Macaca fascicularis: one gene and its partner. Each later gene encodes a partner of the first gene's protein in a complex. Links are inferred from orthologs where the notes say so. Each region holds a gene or a part of one and is shown on either strand. Other genes may lie near its edges. The genes, in order: PAK1 and DCP1A.

What was found.
Region 2: PAK1 (region 1) and DCP1A share a complex: the UniProt entries of both Homo sapiens proteins name them as parts of the cytoplasmic complex. The link is inferred for Macaca fascicularis from reciprocal best matches to the Homo sapiens genes PAK1 and DCP1A.

What each region holds. Positions count from the first base shown.
Region 1 is NC_088388.1:76,217,417-76,221,231, reverse strand, and holds part of PAK1 (serine/threonine-protein kinase PAK 1), read left to right. Parts: intron 1-455; coding exon 456-652; intron 653-3,815. UniProt on the Homo sapiens protein: Protein kinase involved in intracellular signaling pathways downstream of integrins and receptor-type kinases that plays an important role in cytoskeleton dynamics, in cell adhesion, migration, proliferation, apoptosis, mitosis, and in vesicle-mediated transport processes.
Region 2 is NC_088376.1:116,474,508-116,478,835, reverse strand, and holds the start of DCP1A (mRNA-decapping enzyme 1A), read left to right. Parts: upstream 1-1,509; 5' UTR 1,510-1,535; coding exon 1,536-1,670; intron 1,671-4,144; coding exon 4,145-4,185; intron 4,186-4,328. UniProt on the Homo sapiens protein: Necessary for the degradation of mRNAs, both in normal mRNA turnover and in nonsense-mediated mRNA decay. Removes the 7-methyl guanine cap structure from mRNA molecules, yielding a 5'-phosphorylated mRNA fragment and 7m-GDP.

The DNA of each region.
Region 1 (3,815 bases):
AGCAGCCCTGGGCCTGGGGCATAAAAACAGGGCCATGCTTAGTCATAGGTGACTGGGGTTTAAATCAAGGACTCGTGCCCAAGAAATAAGGCAAGGACCTCGTTGCCATATTTGAGAATATGAGAATGGTTTTTCAAGAACAAAGCAAAACTGGGACAAGCAATCGAGACCAAAATGGGCAGCTTGGACTTTAACACTAAGTCCCCTGGTTTAAGGAGAGATAGGAGGCCAGAGATGGTGTTTCTTATATTCCTCCTATTTCTCTTCAGGGTTCAATAGGAAATAGGCTAGGAGCTAGACATGAAGGTGGCAGTCAAGTGACTTTGGAGAGACAAAGGATAGCAGAGCTGGAAGCCAGGCAGATCTTGTCACCTACGTGTAGGCACACAGTCAACACTTACTGAAGTGAGTGTATATCCTAAATGTATGTTCTTTCTCTTATTTTTCTTTTCTAGCTGATTTTGGATTCTGTGCACAGATAACCCCAGAGCAGAGCAAACGGAGCACCATGGTGGGAACCCCATACTGGATGGCACCAGAGGTTGTGACACGAAAGGCCTATGGGCCCAAGGTTGACATCTGGTCCCTGGGCATCATGGCCATCGAAATGATTGAAGGGGAGCCTCCATACCTCAATGAAAACCCTCTGAGAGTGAGTGTTACCATTCCTATTTCAATTTATTTGGGCTGTTGTCTCTAGTCCCAGGAAATAAGAATCCAGGCTATTCTCTATGGCTTTCAACCTGGAGATCCCTTTTCTGGATACAACTAGTCACTGTTGAACTTAAAATATAAATGGTCAAAGAAAAGGAATATTAGAAGTCACTCATTCATTTATTCAACAACTATCTGAGTCCCTTTCAAGTGCAAGAAACTATTCTAATGAAAATAAAATAAATTAATATGTAGTAACAGATGGTAAATGCTGTGAGAAAAAGCAAAGTAAGGAAGTTAAGAGAGTAATGGAGGAAGAGGTGTGCTATTTTAGAGCAGAGAGGGAAGTTCTCTCTCGTAAGTTATTTTATTCTGCAGAGTTGGGAAGTCATTAGAGGGTTTTGAGCTGAGGAGTAATGTGATCTGATTTATGTTTTAAACAGATCATTTTGGCCGCTTTTATGGAAAATAGATTGCGAGAGACTGTTGTAATAGTTCAGAGTGGTGGTGTCTTGGTAGGAGTGGAAGTGAGAAGTGCTCAGACTCAGGAAATGTCTTGAAGGACTAGCTGACAGGATGAACTGAATATTAGAGAAAGAGGAATCAGCAATTACTACACGATTTTTGGTCTGAATTGCTGAAAAAATTCAGTTGCCATCTGTTGAAATGGTGAAGACCATACTTAAGTTGGGTAATTAAGAGTTGGTTTTGAATGTGCTGATTTGAAGTGTTAATTAGACATTTAAGTGGAGCTGGGAGTAGAGTTTGGCTTAAGAGTCTAGAGTTCAAGGGTGAGGGGTCAGGACAATAATCATAAATTTATTAGTAGATAATATATAGTTGGTATTTAAAATCAGAGGTAGATGAGATCACTCACCTAGAGAATGAGTACTGTTAAAGAAAAGAGATTTGAGTACTGAGCTCTAGGTTATTCCACTGTTTACAGGTTGGAGGAACTAGCAAAGTAGACCAAGGAATGGCCTTTCTAGTGTGAGAGAACAGAGAAGTATCTTGGAGGTGAAGTGTCCTGGAGATGAATAGAACAGTGTGCTTCCTGAAGGAGGAGGAGGGTAGATTATGTGTCAAATGTGATTGATAGGTTAAGATGAAACTGAGAAATGAACATTGGATTTGCCAATGTAGAGGTTCTTAATGACCTTAACAATCAGTTGTCAGTAGAGAGATGGGGATGAAAGTCTAATTAAATTCATGAAAGTGGAAGAAGAGGACGTTGAGATGGCATGTATAAACAGGTTTTTTTTCTCTTAAAGGAATTTTGCTGGGAAGGGTAACAAAAATGGAACACTCTCTTAAAATGGAGTCAAGGGAGGGTTTTTCTAAAAGATGTCTGTGTGCTAATGGGAATGATTTAGTGGAGAGGAGGAAAATGGTCATGTACAAAAAGGAAGTGACAACATAGAAGTGATATCCTTAAGTCGATGAGAGGGGTTCGATCAAGTACTGAAGTAAAGGACATTAGATTAGCATGGACAATTTATCCCTTGTAACAGAGCATATCAACACAGATGCAAATAGGTTGGTAATCTTTGTGTGGGCAAATGTGAAATTTATTCTGATTGCTTTTATTTTCTCATTTATTCCCACCTCCCATCTAGTGCAGGAGTTCCCTGTGCACTGTTGCTGGTAGGTGGTCATCTACATGCTCATGTCATCCTTGGATATCTCTGATTATTGGAAATTGCTTCAGTGCACCAAACTGAAACTACCTTCTGTAGTTTCTATTCTTTGGTCCCAGCTTTGCCTCTGACTCCACATGCAACATATTCTTCCCTGCCTTAGAATGGCCTTGCAGAGATTTGAAGATAATAATTGCTGGGATATGTTGGAAACAAGACAGAGTGATCCTAGACACACACACACACACACACATATTTTTTTTTTGAGACAGAGTCTCACTCTGTCACCCAGGCTAGAGTGCAATGGTGTGATTTCAGCTCACTGCAACTTCCACCTTCCAGGCTCAAGCGATTATCCTGCCTCAGCCTCCTGAGTAGCTGGGATTACAGGCATCTTCCACCATGCCCAGCTAAGTTTTGTACTTTTAGTAGAGACCAGATTTCGCCATATTGATCAGGTTGGTCTTGATGGTCTCGAACTTCTGACCTCAGGTGATCCACCCACCTCAGCCTCCCAAAGTGCTGGGATTACAGGAGTGAGCCACCACGCCCGGCCCTAGACATATCTTTTTATGTTTCTGTACCTTATTTGTGAAGTGAGGATGATAATTCTTGCCCAGAGTTAATTGTGGCCATTAAATTAGTGCTTATGTAAGTACTCTTTGAATTAAGTGCTGACTGATTGTAAAGATTTGGTCTTACTGTGTTTTTCTTTACCTTTCCCAGGAGATGCTTCATTTAGGGGACCAAGGTGGCAACAGTTTTCACTTATATTTAATATTCCTTTCCTGCTAGAAGAGATCAGTTCTTGGATGACTGAGGTGAAGGCACCAGGAATAATTTCTGCCAGTAGCTGGGCAGATGTTTCAACAGGCTAAATGGATAATAAACCCTTCAGATGTGTAAGCAAGAATAATAATAAAGCCGGGCATAGTGGCTCACATCTGTAATCCCAGTACTTTGGGAGGTTGAGGCAGGCGGATCACTTGAGTCTAGGAGTTCGAGACCAGCCTGGCCAACATGGTGAAACCCTGTCTCTACTAAAAATACAAAAAGTAGCCGAGTGTAGTGGTGGGCACCTGTAATCCCAGCTACTTGCGAGGCTGAGGCAGGAGAATCGCTTGAAGCCTGGAGGTTACAGTGAGCCAAGATCTTACCACTACACTCCAGCCTGGGCGACAGAGCGAGACTCTGTCTCAAAAAAAAAAAATAATAATAATAATAATAATAATAAACCCTTAGGTCTGTAACATATTTCGTAAGTTTACAAAGTACTTTCAAATACACTATCTTATTTTTACAGATATGTGAGATGGGCATTATCATCATCCTTACTTTACAGATAGGGAAGTTGCACATAGTCTCATGGCCTTTAAATGTTCAGCCTGATCCTTAGGTCATACTCTTTCCAGTATATATACACAGCTGCTACTTTGCATCCTAGAGCATAAAGCAGCTGACCATATTTCTAGAATGTGTATATGGAGAACAAGAGAGAGCCTCAGTTGGAGTTCAAGGTGATTC
Region 2 (4,328 bases), on another chromosome or scaffold:
GGGCAGATCACCTGAGGTCAGGAGTTCAAAATCAGCCTGGCCAATGTGGTGAAACCTCATCTCTACTAAAAAAAATACAAAAATTAGCTGGGCGTGGTGGCGGGCGCCTGTAATCCCAGCTACTCAGGAGGCTGACGCAAGAGAATCGCTTAAACCCGGGAGGCAGAGATTGCAGTGAGCTGAGATCGCGCCACTGCACTCCAGTCTGGGTGACAGAGCAAAACTCCATTTCAAAAAAAGAAAAGAGCACTTTGGGAGGCTGAAGCGGGCGGATCACCTGAGGTCAGGAGTTCAAGACCTGCCTGGCCAACGTCATGAAACCCCATTTCTACTAAAAAAAAAAAAAAAAAAAAGGAAAGAAAAAATTAGCCAGGTGTGGTGGCGGGCGCCTGTAATTCCAGCTAAATGGGAGGCTGAGGCAGGAGAATCGCTTGAAACCTGGAGGCAGAAGTTGTAGTGAGCTTGAGATTGCGCCACTGCACTCCTGCCTGCGCGACAGAGCAAGACTCCGTTTCAAAAAGTAACAAAGAAAAGGGCCAGGCGCGGTGGCTCAAGCCCGTAATCTCAGCACTTTGGAAGGCCAAGGCGGGTGGATCACCTGAGGTCAGGAATTCGAGACTAGCCTGGCCAACATGGCGAAATCCCGTCTCTACTAAAAACAAAAATTATCAGGGCATGGTGGCGTGCCCCTGTAATCCCAGCTACTCGGGACGCTGAGACAGGAGAATCGCTTGAATCTTCGAGGCGGAGGTTGCAGTGAGTCGAGATCGCGCCACTGCACTCCAGCCTGGGCGATAAGAGCGAAACTCCCTCTCAAAAAAAAAAAAAAAAAAAAAAGGACAGAAATACAGAAAAAGAAAAAAAAATCCACTTGTACCTTCTGCTAATCAGTGTATATTCAGGGTAACTTGAATCTATGCTCCTGGGTTGCAATCCTCAAGCTTGGCCCAAATAAACTCTCTGCTTGCATTAACTTTGCCCCATCTTCTTTCTTTTAGGTCGATATATCCATACCTAAGATCTAGGGTAATTTTCTAGGCTTCTCGCCTCTCCCTTTCTTCCATGCTTTTCTGTGCTTTCTAAACGGGCCCAGTAGAGTTCTGCATTTCCACATTCCACAGAGGTGTTTTCCTTCTGTGGCCCCGGGCCCTGCCAGACAGCGAACCGCGAAGCCGGAACTTCGGCGGTCTCCAGCCTTTGCCTGGAAAGAGCTCGGCAAGCTAGCTAGAGATTAGATCCCAGGACCTAGTCGTTTTAGCTCAGGGAAGGGAAGCGCCGGACGCCAGCCTGCAAGCTCCACTGCGCAGCCGTGGACACCGCCCCACGTCGTAGGGCAGTGGACCCTGACAACGCCGGAACCCGGCGCCCGGTGCGTGCGCTTGGCGGACCAGAATGGCTAACGTACCGCCATGCCGCGAGGCCCACGTAGAGGCGGAAGTTGATGGGACTGACGCAGATGGGGGAACCTTGCCTCGATGGCACTTTCCTGTCCGCGACTCCGCCCCCGCCAGAGGGGCTAGGTTCCGGGATTCAAGATGGAGGCGCTGAGTCGAGCTGGGCAGGAGATGAGCCTGGCGGCCCTGAAGCAACACGACCCTTACATCACCAGCATCGCAGACCTCACGGGCCAGGTTGCTCTGTACACCTTCTGCCCCAAGGCCAACCAGTGGGTGAGTGCCGCCTGGCTCTGAGGACGGCCGCCCGGCCGCTGCGGTCTCTTAAAGGGGCCGCGCGGGTTGCTGTGGGGTGGGGGACACAGCAAGAGGCCAGGGAGGTGAAGACGGGGCCAGGGACTGGCGAAGAGCCGAGCCAGAGCCTGAGGGGTGTCGGGTCCACCTGAGATTGGGGGATAGGAGTGAGAGAAGTGGCTCGAGACATCCCAAGAAAAAGCCAGTGGAGGGGAGGATTGGAGCAGGATCAGTCCCTTGGCGTCGGGTCTGGGGACGTGGGCGACCTGCCTTCTTTGCAGATACATTGGGAGTTATGAGACCGGTGGGGTCAAAAGAGTGCCTGAAAGCTTGTGTTTGAGGCTTTGCGGATTATTAGATAAATTACATGTACATTGTCTATAAAATAAACACTCCTTCTCTCCCCCGGCAGACGTAAATGAGAGCCCCTTTCGCAGAGGTCATTTGGATTTAAAGCTTAAAATCCAATTAGTTTCGATTCTTGGAAGGGGGAGTGCGGTGGGTCTGGCTTTAATCGAACTACACAGTTTCGGAAAAGATTTCAAGGCACTTAGGAAAAGGGCTTCCATGTTCACTGGATCCCCGAAGACCTTTGTACAAACAAGAGAGACCCTGTAAATGTGTTTTGTTCCACCTATGATGCTGGTGATGTCATCTCTGAATGTTCCCCTCAGACTCAGTACTTTCTGGCTTTCGTGCACTGGAGAGGGTCCGAAAAGTTACATTCAGTCTGTTCACTGATTCTTGTTAGCCCCTGCTTGAAGCTTTGTTAGTTGTTTAAAAACAACTAGCATAATTTCCCACTTTCTTGTAATTGACCCTTCCTAATTAACTCATTCGGTTACAGGCTTTACACTTAGAAAATAGTATGTAAATGTTTGTTGGATTGAATTCACCAATGACTGGAGTTCTCATTTCAATAAGATGTGAAATCCTTAAACTAACAACTCTGGAAGATGACTGTAGTATGTCGTTTACCCTATAATACAGATGCGTAGATTATTTTTATTAGTAATTTATCGAAAATCATTTGGCATTTATGAACAGTTAATTCAGATGAAGAGAGTTTTTATAATCACTTTGTTTATCTTTGCCTCCTGGAAGAGAAGGAGGTATGGGAAGCCACAAGGAATAAAATTGTAGATTGTTTTTTAAATGTAGCTATTTTAGACATTGCCTTAGTTTGAAATTTTATGAATCTTTTTTCTTTTCTTGGCATATATGTAAATTTGTGAAATATGGATTGCAGACCAAGGGTGAAGACTTGGGGCTAGGACTTTTTACTAAAGAGTTTTTCTAGTTTTTCACAAAGGCTTTCAATATTTTAAAATTTTACATTGGGGAGTTCTGTTTTAAATAAGAAATACAAGCTATAATAACCTGAATTGAAAAATAAGCTGCTACCATTTATTTGGATCCTGGCACGTAGAGCATAACAAAAATCTTTTCTCTCTTTGTTGTTATTTTTACAGTGAGTTGTAACTTTACATGATGTTTTCTGGTGGGCAAGTTTTCTTTTACTGTAAGACAGTTGATTACCAATTTCTTATAGTAATAACCTAACGTTTTAAAGGTAAGAAAAAGCCTCTGAATCCTTAGGAAGGAAAATAATGATATTTAAGCTAGGGTAGTACTTCTGGAAGAAATCAAGATGATCAATTTTCTAAATTTTTTAATCCCAGCACATTCAATATATGACCAACATTTAAAATGTTAATAATGTGTTGATTACAGTAAAATATTTAGGTCCATTGTAGGCTGTAAATTGCAGACTAATAAGCTTATTTATTTTTTAAAAAACACTGAACTGTGTTTAAAACCTAAATACTCTTGTCACAGAAAATGACCTATGGTAAAGGCCTGTAATAATTACTGTGAGGCAGGGTATACTTTCAGTATTCATGATTCTTCAAGTTCTAAAAATAACAAGCTGGTTTTGTTTGGTAGGAATTCTTAACCACAAAATTTACTAGTTGTGAAAATGTACGAAAACTCCCCAGTGATGAAACAAAGTATCCTGTAAAAAAATTTCATTCCTTTCCTTTTTTAAAATTAACTTGGATAAACTTTAAAAGAGAAAAAATTGCAGTATACAGGACCTTAGCCTTGAAGTTAAGAAATCTGGCTAAAACATTTTAGCTATAAAAAGTGAAGGTTTATTCTATGATTTTCTCCTTTACTAATTAAAAAAGAAAAATGCTGCAGATACAGATATGTTGCTGGATTAAACATTGCGTATGCTTATGTATGCATCAGTAGCACTGAAAGCATACATTAGAAATGGTAACCACAATTTGTGGAATGAGAGGGAGACTTTATCTGTTCCAAAGTGGTTAATTTTATAATAAATGAAATGAAACAATTTGATCTTAAACGTGAAGCATTACTTCTCCATTGGGACTGTTTGGGGTCTGATTATGGGGAAAAAAAACTAATGGACTCATTGTCTTTCATAGGAGAAAACTGATATAGAAGGGACCTTATTTGTATATCGAAGGTAAGTTTTTAAAATATGTGTATTTGTTTTTAACAGTTTAATGGTGAACAATGTCAAACGGTTCAATTCTGTTGTACATTTGTCTTTGGAACCTTCCTGCTAGTCCCCTTCAAGTTTTCATCTTTCCCTAGCTGTGAAATCTT